Rattus norvegicus: one gene and its partners. The protein of the gene in region 3 purifies or fractionates together with the protein of the main gene of each other region. This does not show direct contact. Links are inferred from orthologs where the notes say so. Each region holds a gene or a part of one and is shown on either strand. Other genes may lie near its edges.

Region 1 (5,172 bases), on a different chromosome or scaffold from region 3:
GTTTCCAGCTCACCACGTGTGGCCTGAAGACCACGTGTTCATTTCCACACCAAACTTCAACTACACAGGCCAAGACTTCGAGCGTTTTTTTGCAGATCTTCATTTTGAAGAAGGCTGGCACATGTTTCTACAGTCTCGTGACCTACTAGCAGGCCTCCCAGCGCCTGGTGTAGAAGTATATTGTCTATACGGTGTAGGCATGCCCACAGCCCACACCTACATCTATGACCACAACTTTCCCTACAAAGACCCGGTGGCTGCACTCTATGAAGATGGGGACGACACTGTAGCCACACGTAGCACTGAGCTCTGTGGCCAGTGGCAGGGCCGCCAGTCACAGGCTGTACACTTGCTGCCCATGAATGGGACAGATCATCTCAACATGGTCTTCAGCAATAAGACACTGGAGCATATTAATGCTATCCTACTGGGTGCCTACCGCCATGGCACTCCTAAGTCCCCAACCGCCAGCCTAGGTCCCCCCACCAAGGAATAAAGACTTAGCTGTTATGAATAAGTGCAGTGTGTTCTGGGTAAGGGGAAGGCGGCCTCACCTGCCTGATTTCATGCATCATCTGACCCAGCTCTTGGGGGAGCATGAGGTACAATGGGCTCTGGTAAGGTCTCTGACTGGACTGACAGGGTGAGATGTGTAAATAGATTTTCATTGTCCTGGTTGAGCTGCTAAGAAGCTTGCTCTGTGCCTTCCTTCTCAGGACCTGTGCCAATATTCAGGTCTGGGTATAGCTGTTGGAATGGGAACACAGAAATATGATTTGAAACCAACTTCTGAGTTCTGGTTGGATACAGAAATTTAAAAATAGAGTATGGTGGTGCACGCCTTTAGCTCAGCACTTGGGAGACAGAGACAGGCAGATCTCTGTGTAGGCTACTCTGATCTACATAGTTCCAGGACAGACAGGACCACTGAGACCCTGTCTCAAAAACACAAACAAATAGAATTTGAAATATGGCAGCTGGGGCTGGGATTGTTAATGTAAGAGCTTGGATTCAGCACTAAAGATGAAAGGGGCCTGAGAGATAGCTCAGCATCCATTGAAAGAAGCTGTTTTTCCAGAGGACCATGGTTCAAGTACCAGCACCCACATGGCCGCTCAAAAGTGTATGCAACTCCAGCTTTAGGGGATCTGACACCCTCACAGACATACAGGCAAAACACCAATACACATATAAATAAGTCATACAAAATTTAAAAGTTTAGAGCCAGGTGGTGGTACACATGCCTTTAATCTCTTCATCCAGGCTAACCTTGTCTACCAAGCTTGTTCCAAGACAGACAGGGCTACACTGAGCTACGCTGAAAAAAAGTTTAGGATCTGAAGGAATGACCGTTCATCTAAAGAAGGTTTCATTTGGGACTTTAGAGAGATTGAGAGCTCAGAAGTTAAGAACATTTCTTGCACTTGGAGAGGACCTAGGTTTTGTTCCCAATGCCCATATGGTGACTCACAACCATCTGTAACTTCAGTTCCAGGGAATCTGATGCCCTCTTCCAATCTCAGTGGGCCCCTGGCATGCACATGCCACATTCACTCATACACATAGTTAAGCCTCAAAAGGCTTGATTTCTACTTATTTTTAAGGAGTTGGCTGTGTGCGTATTTTTCCTGAATATACGCATGTGCTTACAGTGCTCGGGGGTGTCAGATGAGATGGAGACAGAGGGACTAAGGCGCACTGTGGAAGGCCTGGCTCAGGCTCAAGCCACCTGGGACTAGAAGCAAAGGCGAAAGTGAAAGAGAAGATGCACAAAGCATAAGCAGCCTCTGAACTAAGTGGGGGGTGAAAGCGAAAGTAGGAAGCGACCCGAAAAGCCCCACAGAAGCCACGACAGACGCCTCTGCTCTGACTTTGCTTTTTAAATCTGATCCACCCATCGAGACCCCCGCATCTCAGTTGGCCTTCCTGCCCGGAGATGCTGAAGCAGGCAGTGGAACACAGAGGAGGCTTCTCTTTCGAGAACTGCCAGAGGTGAAGGGGAAGTGGAATTCAAGTCGCGAGCTGCTAGTGCCTTGTTTTACTGGTGGAGTGGGGGGAACCCTATCCTATGTTGGGTGACCAAGTAGAGGCTTAACCCAGGAGATGAGGAAAGTAGACATGGATTCGGGGACGGATTCAAGGACCCTCCCTAGATTCATAACTGAAATGAGAGCCACCTCAATGTTTCCAGGAATGCGTCCTTGGAACACGTCCTTCCGGGACTTCGGGTCCCTCTTGCACGCAAGACCGGGACTACCATCGCCGGACTTGTGTTCCGTGTAAGCGGGGTTATAGGGCTGGAGGGCTAGAAGGGCAGCCACTGCGAAGATCAGGTGGGCATTAAGGCTGGGCTCTACCTCTGCAGGATGGAGTCATCCTGGGTGCGGACACGCGGGCTACTAACGATTCGGTTGTGGCGGATAAAAGCTGCGAGAAGATCCACTTTATCGCCCCCAAAATCTAGTCAGTATCTACCGGGCCAGTCCCCATATTCAAACATAAGTTGCACTGTCGCTCACGCCTAATTATGTCCCTGCAAGTTCCTGTCCACATCCATAATCCCTTTTTCCCTTAGCTGCTGTGGGGCTGGAGTAGCTGCGGACACTGAGATGACCACGCGGATGGCAGCTTCCAAAATGGAACTACATGCTCTGTCCACCGGCCGTGAACCTCGAGTGGCCACGGTCACCCGTATCTTGCGTCAGACGCTCTTCCGGTGAGGAAGTGAGGCTAAGACGACCCTTAGAGGGGGTATCTGCAGATGGGTGGGGATGACAGGAGGTGAGACCGGAAAAAAAAAAAAAAGCGGGATGCAACCAGCAGGGAGACCGGAAGAAGACATCAAGCTGAGTTCCGGAAGAGACGTCAATTGTAGGCCGCCTGGCCAAAGGAAGGGGTGGGACTCAGACCAAAAAGCAATATAATGGGCGGGGTCTGGCTCCTGCTGACAGTAACCATGCCCACTCTTCCACAGGTACCAAGGCCACGTGGGAGCATCATTGATCGTGGGCGGGGTTGATTTGAACGGACCGCAGCTCTACAGCGTGCACCCACACGGTTCCTACAGCCGTCTGCCTTTTACTGCCCTTGGTGAGCGCTTCCACCTTTTTCAAATGAATCTTGCTCCTGCAACCCTACTTTCAAGGTTTATACCTCAGCAGCTGCAGCTGACTTCAGATGCCCCTTTCCACCTGCAGGCTCTGGTCAGGATGCAGCCGTGGCACTGTTGGAGGACCGGTTCCAGCCAAACATGACGGTGAGCGACTTCTGCCCATTACTTCACGCTCACTGGCGGGGAGTGCCGGAAAAACCCTGGCCAAGTATAGAAACAAGGAAGGCTTGTAGGGGTAAAGGTGACTACTGGGTAGGAACTGAGTAAAGTTGAAGAAGTGAAGTCCAGTCAATAACCAAGCTTAGGCCACAGAGAGAAGCTGAAGCTCACAGCAGATTACTGAAGAGCCCAGTGGGGTTCTGTAGTAGGTTTGAGATCTGTACTTTGGAGTGGGATAGAAGTGGGTAACTGTGCTTCAGAGATAACCAAGACCCACGGAGAAACTCGCGACAGAGTGGGTGGGCAGACTGCTGGAAGGAAGGCTATAGGTGTAAGCGACACTGAGAATTTTGTACAGAGGACAGTGGGTGGAGGGCACAGAGTCTTTCGGGAGAGGGGGTCAGAAGCCAAGGGACTGGAATTTTGAATGGAGGGAAGAGAAAGGATGTTGAGCTTACATAAAGAGCAACTTGTCTAGGCTTCGAGCTTAAGAAAGCCCCCAGGTTAGAGTGAGGTAACACTAGATTCCATTCAACCTCATTCCCACTACCACAGCTGGAGGCCGCGCAAGAGCTGTTGGTGGAAGCCATCACAGCAGGGATCCTGGGTGACCTAGGCTCTGGAGGCAGTGTGGATGCCTGTGTGATCACTGCAGGAGGCGCCAAACTGCAGAGAGCTTTGAGCTCACCCATAGAGCCTGTGCAGAGGTAGGAGCAAGGGAAGGGAGGGCCGTGTGTGTGTGTGTGTGTGTGTGTGTGTGTGTGTGTGTGTGTGTGTGTGTGTGTCTGCTGTCTGTCGGTCGGTCGGTCTGCCAGAACAGAACAGGCTGCGATCTAAAAGGCTGGCCCTCCTCCCTTCTAGAGCTGGCCAGTACCGCTTTGCTCCTGGAACCACACCTGTCCAGACCCAGGAAGTGAGAGCTCTGACCCTGGAACTTCTGGAGGAAACTGTGCAGGCTATGGAGGTGGAGTAAAGTGGCCTAAGATGTAGAGTTTGGAACAAGGGTGAATAAATCCAGGAGATACAAACACTTAAACAGAAGACTGTCTTTCTTGAGAGGAGTGGGACAAGCCAGCTTTGAGGCTGAGGAATCCCTCTCAGGACTTCATTCTCAGTTCCTGGCCTGAGCTGCTCTTCATCGCCATCTCAGAGATCAATCCATGCAGAATCCCAGCCCTAGCAGGCACTACAAGCTTTGGAGTACAAAGCTATATCCTGTCATCCCCAAACCATAGTTCCACATGGTGGAAGCTTACCCCACAAGTCCCGTCTTGGAAGGCACGGACAGACGACCCCCACTGTTAAACTTTCCTGTCTTTTTTTTTTTTTTTTTTTTGGTTCTTTTTTTTCCGGAGCTGGGGATCGAACCCAGGGCCTTGCGCTTCCTAGGCAAGTGCTCTACCACTGAGCTAAATCCCCAACCCCAAACTTTCCCTGTCTTGTCAATAAACACCTATGTCCACCGTCTACCCTGGGTCCTTAGGAGGCTAAAATGCTAATAGAGCAACTGCTTCCTGACTCCACGGGCAAGTTCTCACCAAGTGCCCTTTACCACCTACAGTTCCCCTCTTTATGACCAAACATGTGTGAGCCTGTGGAAGGCTGGGCCTTGTCCGCACATGTGGGACTGTGAGTAGGGAGATTGACTCCCAAGTTCTCTAGGCTGGAAGGGGTGGTTGTGGACTCATAGGGAAAGATGACACAGCTAAGTAAGAGGCCTTTGCTAAGGTTGCCTGGCAAGGTTTCTTCACTGAGTGCCAGGCCCTCTGGGTGCTGGTAGGAGCATCCTGCCCTCACGGTAGCTAAGCTCCACTGGGGCTTCAGAGCTGATAAGGCACATTTTCTAGAGAGGTTGACCTCCAGGCTGGACACCCTTGACCCCTGGTTGTATGGTCCCCCTA
Region 2 (5,263 bases), on a different chromosome or scaffold from region 3:
CTTTATTTTTTAGGACAAGGTCTCTTGCTGAACTCAGAGGTTGCAAGAAAATAAAGTTTTCCTTTTTTTTTTTTTTTTTTTTTTACCCACAATCAGCTAGAGTTGTGTTCAGTGTTACACACCTGTAATCCTAGGATTTGGGAAGCTGAGACAGGAAAGTTGCCTTGAGGTCTAGGACAACTTAAGCCGCATGGTTCCAAGCCAGCATAGGCTAGAAGTAAGTACTTGCACTAAAAACAAAACCAAGAACTAGATTTCCCCTTCAGATAAATATGGCCCATTACCCGACTTCTTCCTCCACCCTATGCATTCCCCTTCATGAAGGTGTAATTGACAAACAGCAGTTGCTTACATTTACAATATAAAAAGTGATGTTTAAAAAATTATTTCTGAGACAGGGTCTCTCTACAGAGCCCTGGCTGACATGGAACTCACTAAGCATACCAGGCTGGTCTTGAACTCAGAAAGATCTCCTGCCTCTGCCTCCTGAGTGCTGGGATTAAAGGCACTATCACACCCAACCCAGAATGATATTTTTTAAAAAGACTTTTAAGTGTGTGTGTGTGTGTGTGTGTGTGTGTGTGTGAAGTGTGACACATATATAGGTGCCAGCAGAGGCCAGAAAAAGGCAGTGGAGGATCCCCTACAGCTAGAATAAAAGGTGGTTATGAGGAGCCTGACCAGGATGCTGAGAACTGAATTTGGGCATCTAAAAGGGCACCAGGTGCTCTCAATTGCTAAACTATCTCTCCAGCCACCAGAATTATGTTTTGATGTATGTATATATCATGATTAAATTAACTTTCAATACCTCTTGCCTTTTTGGGTAGTGATTAAAATCTACCTTCCTAGAAAAATTTCAAGTGTAAGATATTATTAACACTAGTCATCCTGGTGTATATATATCTCCACTTACCTGAAACTTTGTACTCTGACCGTCCTATATACCCCACACCTGCCAAGACTGTGCAGAGGTTTATACCGGTTACATTCCTAGAGAGTCACTTCTTAACCTCCTATCTTTCTTTGATACATGATTCATTTACGATGTTTCTAAAAAGCTCTCAAGTTGCTCTTCTACCCTTAGGAAGAGGAAACAGGAAGCACATACAAAAAAGAAGGTACTTATTCTTCTTGAAAAAACAGTGGCTAATCTAAATCTCGGGGCCTGAACTCTGGGTCTTCGGGTCTCAAACTTGGATAGCTACGGTGGTAGTGGTGGTATGTGTATGTATGTATCCAGGAAAGACGTGGTAAAATAATCTTACCTATGCAGGAAATTGAAAAACGTTCTTGCAGATTAGAACCTATCAATTTTTTTTTTTGTTGTTGTTCTTTTTTTCGGAGCTGGGGACCGAACCCAGGGCCTTGCGCTTCCTAGGTAAGCGCTCTACCACTGAGCTAAATCCCCAGCCCCCGAACCTATCAATTTTTAAAACTTTTTTTCAATCAGCCCGGTTGACAGAATCGCGGGGCACGCTGGTCCAGACTGCACTGAGGCGCACACATCTCTACCTAAGTCAAAAAGTCCTCAGCAAAGCTGGTTCCGGTTGCCACAGAGCCGGGAAGACAGCGAAGAGTTGGGCAAGTGAACGCGGAGTAAGAGACTGGTGTCCCTCGGCTGCAATCACGCGAGTCGGCGAGACTTACGTCACGATCCCTACAACCAACTACCAGTCCCAGTCTTGCAGCAGTTCAAAACGCGACGAGCGCACACCTCTGCGAGGTTCACTCCCACCAGTTGCCTCAAGTCCCAGCGCCCGTAGCAACCAAGGGTGCCGGGAAGCGGAAGTGCATTCTAATTCCGCCCTCCCAGTTAATCCAGGTGAGGAAGCTTGTCAGCCCAATCATTGCAGCGAAAATATCTATCAGCCAATAGAACGGAGACACGGGAGGGCGGGCTAAAAAGGTCGCGTGCGCACGCGCAGAGGGCCGCAGGATCCTTGGTGCTGTGGCGGTGTGGTTGAGTAGGGTGCTGCTTTCAGTCGTGTGGCCTTTGGGAACTCCGCGTAGCCACTGCCGCCTCCTCCTGTCCTCGCCATGTTCCTCACTCGGTCCGAGTACGACAGGTTCGTACAGCGAGAAGCAGCAGGGTCGAGATTTGGGTGGGCGGGCCTGGGCCCGGGCCGCGGCCTGGGTTCTGCAGTGTCATGGGGCACCCGGGTAACCTAAGTCTGGCGGGACCCGGGGAATCTGGCTCCCGAGGCGCCCGGCGAGATTGCCCAAGCTAGACTGGAGCGGACCCGTTGCACTTGTGCTACCGCTGAATCACCGCTACTTTTGACTCCGCACGGAAGCGAGAAGCTGGGGCTGCTTGAGGCAGGCGGCGGAGAGGGGTCCGGACTCCAACCTTTAACCTGAAGTAGATTAGGGACTCACCAGCCTTGTGTTCGTCTTTTCAGCCTAAGTATGACTGCTTAAAAGAATAATGAAATGAGTTTCCTCGAATAGAAAGCTACCAGAGACTATTGAATGAGTTTGTAGGAATCCGTGCTATGCTGTACATTTTAGTCTTTTTTTAAAGCGCGAAGGCAGTTACAGCTATTATCTGATACATTGCCTGAAGTCTGGTTTTATAGGAACTAGAATGTATAGTAGTTCTCAGAAGAGTTTTAATATGCTGATCCCATTTGACCAAAGAGGGGGAAAAATTGAGAGCAAGTTAATTTTTGTGTTGTGTTGAAGGCTAAATGTTTTGTAAAGGCAAAGCTTTGTGGTTGTGTTTATTTAAAAAAAACAACCTAAAAATCAAGTCTTGAAAATGCTAACTAATAACTGTCATAAATGCTGTGGATACTGTAACTTTCAGTTTCTGTTTTGAGTAGTTTTGCAAGCCGCTGAGTTCCTTTAAAAGTTAGGGAAGGCAGACTTTTTTTTTTTCCAGGTGGTATGAGAAATCACTTTTCTTGGCAAGTATATATCGAGGCTGTCAAAATTGTGGCACCTGGAATGCCATTTTTTAACCTTTTGCTGACTCAGAAAATACAGTTGAAGTTTTAAAACTATTTCCTGTTGTCAAGTAAAATGGTCGTTAACACTTGGCTTCCAGAGCATTGAAGGGAGTCATCTTTAGGTGATAAAATTTTGAGAAAATCGTGATCCTCACCCGAAGGGCTTTATTGAGCTTTGCCCATTTATTTATATGTATTAGTTGCTTTGTGGATTTTTTTTCTTTTGTATCTGCCAAGACTAAAGTTCAGGCCTCTATTTATCCAATGTTCTTGATCTTTCGCTCAGTACAAGGAGCATTGTTTAGGGAGCTGGTTTTACAGCAGTGAGCAGAACCAAGATTCCTGCTCTCCTGTTTGCTTGTGTAACTAATACGAGACAGAAGTGTATTGATGTTACTAGAGGAATCTTAGGCCAGCAACTGGATGTTCTGATGAGAGGTTGCATTCATCGTTGGAGGTTGGGGAAAACTTCACAAAGAGGCTGATAATTCAGATAGGCCCAGAGCAAGTAGGATTTTTAGTAAACCAAGACCACGAGACCCAACAGATAGTAAAGGAAGAACAAAGGAGGACCAGTGGAAAGACATAACACACATTTGAAAAACGTCCAGGCTGACTACCACATTTGTATGATGCATATAATGGGACTAGTAGGTGCTATGGAAAAACCAGGATACTGACAGCTCGGATAGACTGTTAAGAATTTGGATCTCACTCTGTAGGCAACTGTGTGCCATCAGTTTTCTTTTTCTTTTTGGCCTTTTTTGGGGGTTGGGGAGACGTCCATGTACATGCCTGGTGTCCTTTGAGGCCAGAGGGTGTTGGATCTCTTAGAGCCGGAATAACAGGTGGGTTTTCGCCACTATGTAAGTGCTGGGAATCAAACCAGCATCTTCTTCTGAAGAGCCCCTAGTGCTCTTAACTGCTCTCCCAGCTCACTAGCTCTCTTTTTTTGGTCTTTTTTTTTTTCCTTTTTTTTTTCTTTCTTCTTAAAAAGACAGGGTATCTCTATAGCCCAGGGTGACCTAGAGCTAACTGGCCCACCCAGTCTGGCCTTGAATTTGTGAGGATCCTTTCTGCCTGATTGATTGTTCTGAGTTCTGGAGTTAACACTCATGAGCCACTGTGTCAGACTCTAGTGTTTCCTTTTAAGAAGTTACCTCATCACACTTGTTTTTATAAAGATTAATTGATTGGAAGAACAAGTTGGCTTCCTTTAAGAGGCTTTTACAATAGTTAGGTAAAGGGTAACGAGGCCGTAGGGATGGAAGTGATGGTACCATGGAGGAGGAGCATATGAGTTAGTATGACTTAGCATGTGGTAGGATAAAGGAGATGGCAGGGAGAAGTGAGTCATCATTCAGAACATTCTGTTATGGAGGAACTCAGAAGCTGTGGGTGTCTTAAAATAATGGGAATGGTATAGGTGAGTTGATTTTACAGAGTGACTAGATTTAAAAGGTACTGTTTAAGACTGGAAAATGTTGAATGATGGTTGTAATTGGGCTATTCAAGAGGAATTGTTTCAAATTTAGATTAATTAGGTAAAAGGCAAACTGGAACTAGAAATTTAGAATGACTGGTTTTAGTTTCTATGCAACATCTCAAGTAAGCAATGAAATTTGGGAGGATGAAGACAGAGCTTACTAGGATGGTACTTCCAAATCAGGGTACAAAAAAATTAGTCACATAAGTTTATAGGGTTCTTTCACTTTTCTGTAGTTTACTTAAATTGTCATAAAGGCAAGGACAATTTCTTATTTTTCCTCAAAGCTAGTGATAAACCTGGTTCTCAATCTCAGGATGGGTCAGTTTTAGTGCGTGTGTGCGTGGTGTGTGTGTATGTGTAACCTGGGGCTTATATGCAGTGGGCAAGAGCCAGAGCTCTACAACTGAACTGGTCCCCAGCTCAATCTGAGATTTTCTGACCGCAGTTTTCCTTTCACTGAGTTTGTCAGCTGTGCTTTAGAACCTTGAACTTCCTTCTGGATGGCTTTAGTGATCTGTTGGTTGAGGAGGGCATGAGGAACTGGATGGTGAGAATAATTCTCAGACTGTGAAGTAGAATAGTTGAAAGCTTTGTCTACATAGGCTTTCTTGAACTGATTCTGCTTCTGTTTTGCTAAGTAACTTTGAACTATTTATTTGATATCTCTCACACATACAATCTCTTTTGAAGAAAGTTTTGGTTAAACAAAATTTGAAAACAGTGGTATATGCATACTGTTGTGAGGTTTAGAGTTCATGAACTAAGGATTACAGGTATTTATATTCATTTATCCAGAAACATTTTTTAAATTGTAATTGTGTGC
Region 3 (5,018 bases):
AGCCCAGGTAATAAGCTGGGCATGGCTATGCACACAGTTTAGCCAATGGGTGAGCTCCAGGGTTAGTATGAGAGTGAATAAGGCACGGGAGGGCGGGGGAGTGGTGGTGAGGAAGACACCATTCACCTCTGGTTTCCATGAAATCATGCATGGTGTATGCACTCTTGTTTTGTTTTGTTTTTAAGACATTTATTTATTATATATAAGTACATTGTTGCTGTCTTCAGATACAGCAGAAGAGGGCATTGGATCCCATAATAGACGGTTGTGAGCCACCATGTGGTTTCTGGGAATTGAACTCAGGACCTCTGGAGGAGCAGTCAGTGCTCTTAACCACTGAGCCACCTCTCCAGCCCCATACACTCTCATGAATATACAATGCAGAGACAAGTTTAATCCCCACAACGACATCCCAGTCACTGGCGTTCCTATTGTTTAGTTGTGAAAATTTTATTTTTTATGTGTGAGGTGGGTGTTTTGACTGCCTGCATGCCTCTTCACCACATGCATATAGTGCCCGTGGAGGCCAGAAGAAGGCCTTGGATCCCCTAGAAGTGGAGTTACAGGCAACTGTGAGCCGTCACGTGAGTGCTAAGAACTGAACAGAGGTCCTCTGGAAGAGCAGCCAGGGCTCTCTTAACCATTGAGCATATATTTTTTTTTTTTTTTTGGTTCTTTTTTTCGGAGCTGGGGACCGAACCCAGGGCCTTGCGCTTCCTAGGTAAGCACTCTACCACTGAGCTAAATCCCCAGCCCCCATTGAGCATATTTTAATGTTGAACAAAAAGCCAGGTATGATGGGGCAGGCCTTTTATCCCCGCACTGGGGAGACAGGTGAAAGAGGCAGGCAGTTTCTGTGAGTTCGAGGCTAACCTAATCTCTACAGCTGTGAGTTCCAGGACAGCCAGGGCTACTAAGAGAAACCTTGTCTCGAAAAACAAAAACAAAAGTTGAAAAAATAATTCTGGATGTGTGAACATTACATGAAACTCAAACTCTCGAGTCCATCAGTTAAGTTTTATTGAAACTCACTCGCACTAATTAGTTTCTTGGCTGCTTTCCTTTCAGCGCAGTTAACACTACACACATATTAACACTTCCCCAAACTAAATAGCTGTCATAAACCCTTGCCGAAAGTTTGTCTGGCTCCTGTTTAGACCACTGTATTATCCTGTCTCAAAAGTAAAACAAACAAGCAAACAACAACAAATGGCTAGTATCAGAGTCGCAGGTGCCATGGAGGTACTGAAACAGGTAATAAACTGCAGGGGGAAGGTACTTTCTGAAGAACGATGGCGGAACATTCCCTCTGAAAAATTGACATCGAAGCTGAGGACTGAGTGAGGACGTTGAGGGGAAAGAGTGTTGCAGGTTTCCCAAGGGCAGAGAGTCCTTGACGCGGGAATAAACACTACCTATAAGTTTCTGCTTGTGTAATGGATGAATGTGCAAAGCAATGGACTTGAAGTGGACGGCGATGATTGTGAAAGAAAAAGTCTTTATAGATTTTATCACAGAGGCCTGAATCCCTGCTGTGGGGGCGTGGTTTATAGGGGAATAGAGGGCGCTACAAAGGCTTTGTGCTCAACCTATTGAGTCTCCCGTAAGGATGGTGCGGGCGCCTCAGCGTAGCGGTCTGGTGGGCGGGAGTTTGTTGGTGAAGGCAGGGGACCACGCCGGGAAGACCAGATCTTACCCCAGATCATTAAAGATTTTAAACCCCCATGTAAGGCTTATTATCGCCTGGCCCTAGCAGAAGTAGCGGGTGCCGGGAAATGGGAGCCGAGTGTGGGAAGGGGCAGGGGTACTGGAGCTGGCTGGGAGGCGGGTGTGGCTGCGGAGCAGAGAGACCCGGGCGCCGGGCGGAAACGCTACTCGGGCTGCTGGAGGAGCCCCCGCCTCTCAGTAGGCTGTCCCCGCCTCCTCCAGTCCCTCCACTCCCCAAACCCAGGAAGGCGGTGCAGGTTTCGAGCTGTGCTTTCGCTTTCCCTTCCCGCTGCCCACCCCAGGCTCCGCGTGCGGCGTTCAGCCCCCGGCTCTGGCCATGGCTACACTGAGGGTCCATCCTGAAGCCCAAGCCAAGGTGAGCGTTGCGGGTTCGAGTGGGGACGAGAGGCTTTAGAGAGGCGTGGCTCAGAACGAACCAGAGTTCTAGGGAAATCGATCCACAGACCCCCACTCCCACCCCTACCCCCCCGCACCTGAGTTGGGGGTCCTGCTCCTTAGCCTACTGCCAGAAGCACCTGATCCCCTGGGAGTAGGTGAGGTGGCCGTGGTCCAGTGGGGTGAAGTGAAGCCTAGAGCTAGTGTGAAGTCTGCTGGCTTGCAGCCAGGGCTACACGCACAAACCTGGAGAGGGACTTGCCCTTGCCAACTCAGACTTTCCCTCAGAAAGGGCACACACCGGCACCCTCTCTGCCTACTGTCTGGTGGTTCTGTTTTGTTTGAGACGGGCTGTGTATTATGTAGCTCTGGCTTTCCTGAAATTGGATATGTAGATCCGACTGGCCTTGAACTCCCAGAGATCCACCTGTCTGTACCTCTGGAGTGCACGCCTGGCCAGAGGGCTTTCTTATCACTCCTTGCACAACCATGGTGGCCCCAGAAATGTTATTATCTCCAAATTCAGCCCCCTTGGGGATCCACTGAACTCTCCCCAGATTCCGGTATGCCTAAAACTACCATACCACCTCAAGCCACCATATATAGGGACCCATTTAGCTTTCTTCAGGTGTGGCCTTAGAGGGCTCCATTCCTCTATTCCCCAGGTCAGGCCCTACACCTAAAGGGAACTGTCCTCAAAAGAACTGGCCTTAAAGCTAGGTTTCTGAAGGGTTGCCTGCCTGTACTCTACAGGTGGATGTGTTTCGTGAGGACCTGTGTAGTAAGGTAAGACCTACAACATCGGGAACCCCACCTCCACCCAGCACCTACGACTCTGGCCTCCCTCGCTGGGCGCTGTGACCCCTTACTTCAGTGCCTTGGAAAGGGTGTTTGCTTCTGACCCTATCCTCCTCCACTGCCTTACACAGACAGAGAACCTGCTTGGGAGCTATTTTCCCAAGAAGATCTCAGAGTTGGATGCCTTCTTAAAGGTAGTGGGGCCCCCGGCAAAGACTCAAGAGGATCCCGGGGGTGGGGGTGGGGTGAGATGAGGGGAATGCACTCATCTCCCGCCCCACTGCCAGGAGCCAGCTCTCAACGAAGCCAACCTGAGCAATCTGAAGGCTCCATTGGACATCCCAGTCCCTGATCCCGTCAAGGAGAAAGAGAAGGAGGAGCGGAAGAAGCAACAGGAGGCAAGCTGGCTGGGACACCTGGGAGGTGGGCCAGCCAGAGAGAAAATCAGCCTCAGTCCTGTCTTCCTCCCCACAGAAGGAAGAGAAGGACGAAAAGAAGAAAGGGGACGAAGACGACAAAGGTACTAGAACCGATGGGCTGGGAAGAGACTGGTGTCTCAGGACTTCCAAACTGCCTTCTACTTTCCCCTTTCCAAATCTTACACACTCCGTCATTCACTGACCCACTGCGCACTCTCCAGGTCCTCCCTGTGGTCCAGTGAACTGCAATGAGAAGATTGTGGTCCTCCTGCAACGCCTAAAGCCCGAGATCAAGGATGTCATTGAGCAACTCAACCTGGTGAGCTCTTCCACCCTCAACTCTGCTCCAGGCATTGTCCTCTTGGTCCCTGCCAGTTATTTCATGGCAAAGCAGGTGGCCCAGACTGGGGCTCAGCAAGGACCTGGCATCCCACCATCCGCTTGTGGGCAGACAAGGGAAGACTAGGAACCTGGGAATTAGGGTACGTATACGGAGGGGAGGGAAGGACATGGTGATAAAGCCATGATGCATTCCTTTGCTCCAAGGTTACTACCTGGTTGCAGCTACAGATACCTCGGATAGAGGATGGGAATAATTTTGGCGTGGCTGTCCAGGTGAGAGCACTGTCCCCCTCAGTCCTCAGCCCCCCTGTGCAGCCAGCCCGTGCTTCCTCCCAACTCTGCACTTTCCTTCTCAGGAAAAGGTGTTTGAGCTGATGACCAGCCTTCATACCAAGCTGGAAGGCTTCCAAACGCAGATCTCTAAGTGAGTGGCCTCGCTCAGTATACAGCCAGCACACTCTGCTTTGGGCACAGGCCTGGGCTCCCTCCGTCTCTCCCCACTCTTTACAAACTACTTCCACTTCCCACAGGTACTTCTCCGAGAGGGGTGATGCCGTGGCCAAAGCAGCCAAGCAGCCTCATGTGGTAGGTAAAGCCCAGGTCAGGCTGTGTCAGGGAAGACAATACGATTTCCAGTCAGGACTAACTCTTAGAGTTTCTGCAGGGTGATTATCGGCAGCTGGTGCATGAGCTGGACGAGGCGGAATACCAGGAGATCCGGCTGATGGTCATGGAGATCCGTAACGCTTATGTGAGGAGGGGAGAAGAGGGCAGGGGTGGGCAGAAGCACTTTTCCCAGGCCATCCAATTTCTGACCAAGCCAATGTGGGGTGGAGGATGACTTAAGAACAGCCTTTCCAAAGGTAGAGATGGGATACAGAACTACTGGGGGCCTGCGGCTGACCTCCCCTACTCTGTGATCCTATAGGCTGTGTTATATGACATCATCCTGAAGAACTTTGAGAAGCTCAAGAAGCCCCGTGGAGAGACAAAGGGGATGATCTATTGAGCCCCCTCTCTCGTTCTATGATGGGTATAACAGAAACCTTCCTACTCTTGACTAGGAACTCTAGACTGCACCCAGTCTTCTTCCTGCTGGGGTCTCCTCCCTCACTCTGCCTTCCAAACACAATAAATACATAGTTGCCCACCAGCCCACGTCTTTATTGTATTTGGACCCCTCTGGCTTAGGCATGTCCATCGGTGGAACCACTCCATTGAGTGATTTGAGTGTTGAGCCGCTGGTTGGTCCAGTCCTGCCGAATGTCATCAAGGTGGCAGTCAAAGTCCACAAGATGCTGGTGGGCCCGGCCCTCCAGCAGTGCTCCCACCATCTGCCGTGACTCCTCCCAATCT

The links.
Region 1: the proteins of Psme1 (region 3) and Psmb10 purify together in Homo sapiens (affinity purification with western blotting; 3 studies listed by BioGRID and IntAct, with this or other methods). This does not show direct contact. The link is inferred for Rattus norvegicus from reciprocal best matches to the Homo sapiens genes PSME1 and PSMB10.
Region 2: the proteins of Psme1 (region 3) and Psma5 purify together in Homo sapiens (co-immunoprecipitation; 5 studies listed by BioGRID and IntAct, with this or other methods). This does not show direct contact. The link is inferred for Rattus norvegicus from reciprocal best matches to the Homo sapiens genes PSME1 and PSMA5.

The regions. Positions count from the first base shown.
Region 1 is NC_086037.1:50,739,943-50,745,114, reverse strand, and holds Psmb10 (proteasome subunit beta type-10), read left to right. Parts: upstream 1-1,822; 5' UTR 1,823-1,936; coding exon 1,937-1,992; intron 1,993-2,191; coding exon 2,192-2,279; intron 2,280-2,365; coding exon 2,366-2,463; intron 2,464-2,575; coding exon 2,576-2,716; intron 2,717-2,974; coding exon 2,975-3,090; intron 3,091-3,197; coding exon 3,198-3,256; intron 3,257-3,826; coding exon 3,827-3,978; intron 3,979-4,132; coding exon 4,133-4,244; 3' UTR 4,245-4,307; downstream 4,308-5,172. Other genes in the region: Lcat (phosphatidylcholine-sterol acyltransferase precursor), read left to right, coding at 1-496. UniProt on the Homo sapiens protein: The proteasome is a multicatalytic proteinase complex which is characterized by its ability to cleave peptides with Arg, Phe, Tyr, Leu, and Glu adjacent to the leaving group at neutral or slightly basic pH.
Region 2 is NC_086020.1:198,582,592-198,587,854, forward strand, and holds the start of Psma5 (proteasome subunit alpha type-5), read left to right. Parts: upstream 1-1,913; 5' UTR 1,914-2,040; coding exon 2,041-2,069; intron 2,070-5,263. UniProt on the Homo sapiens protein: Component of the 20S core proteasome complex involved in the proteolytic degradation of most intracellular proteins. This complex plays numerous essential roles within the cell by associating with different regulatory particles.
Region 3 is NC_086033.1:33,037,035-33,042,052, forward strand, and holds Psme1 (proteasome activator complex subunit 1), read left to right. Parts: upstream 1-1,936; 5' UTR 1,937-2,044; coding exon 2,045-2,083; intron 2,084-2,856; coding exon 2,857-2,889; intron 2,890-3,032; coding exon 3,033-3,095; intron 3,096-3,188; coding exon 3,189-3,299; intron 3,300-3,375; coding exon 3,376-3,421; intron 3,422-3,541; coding exon 3,542-3,639; intron 3,640-3,866; coding exon 3,867-3,935; intron 3,936-4,018; coding exon 4,019-4,086; intron 4,087-4,192; coding exon 4,193-4,247; intron 4,248-4,326; coding exon 4,327-4,413; coding exon of another isoform or gene 4,414-4,503; exon of another isoform or gene 4,504-4,590; coding exon 4,591-4,671; 3' UTR 4,672-4,813; downstream 4,814-5,018. Other genes in the region: Emc9 (ER membrane protein complex subunit 9), read right to left, coding at 4,850-5,018. UniProt on the Homo sapiens protein: Implicated in immunoproteasome assembly and required for efficient antigen processing. The PA28 activator complex enhances the generation of class I binding peptides by altering the cleavage pattern of the proteasome.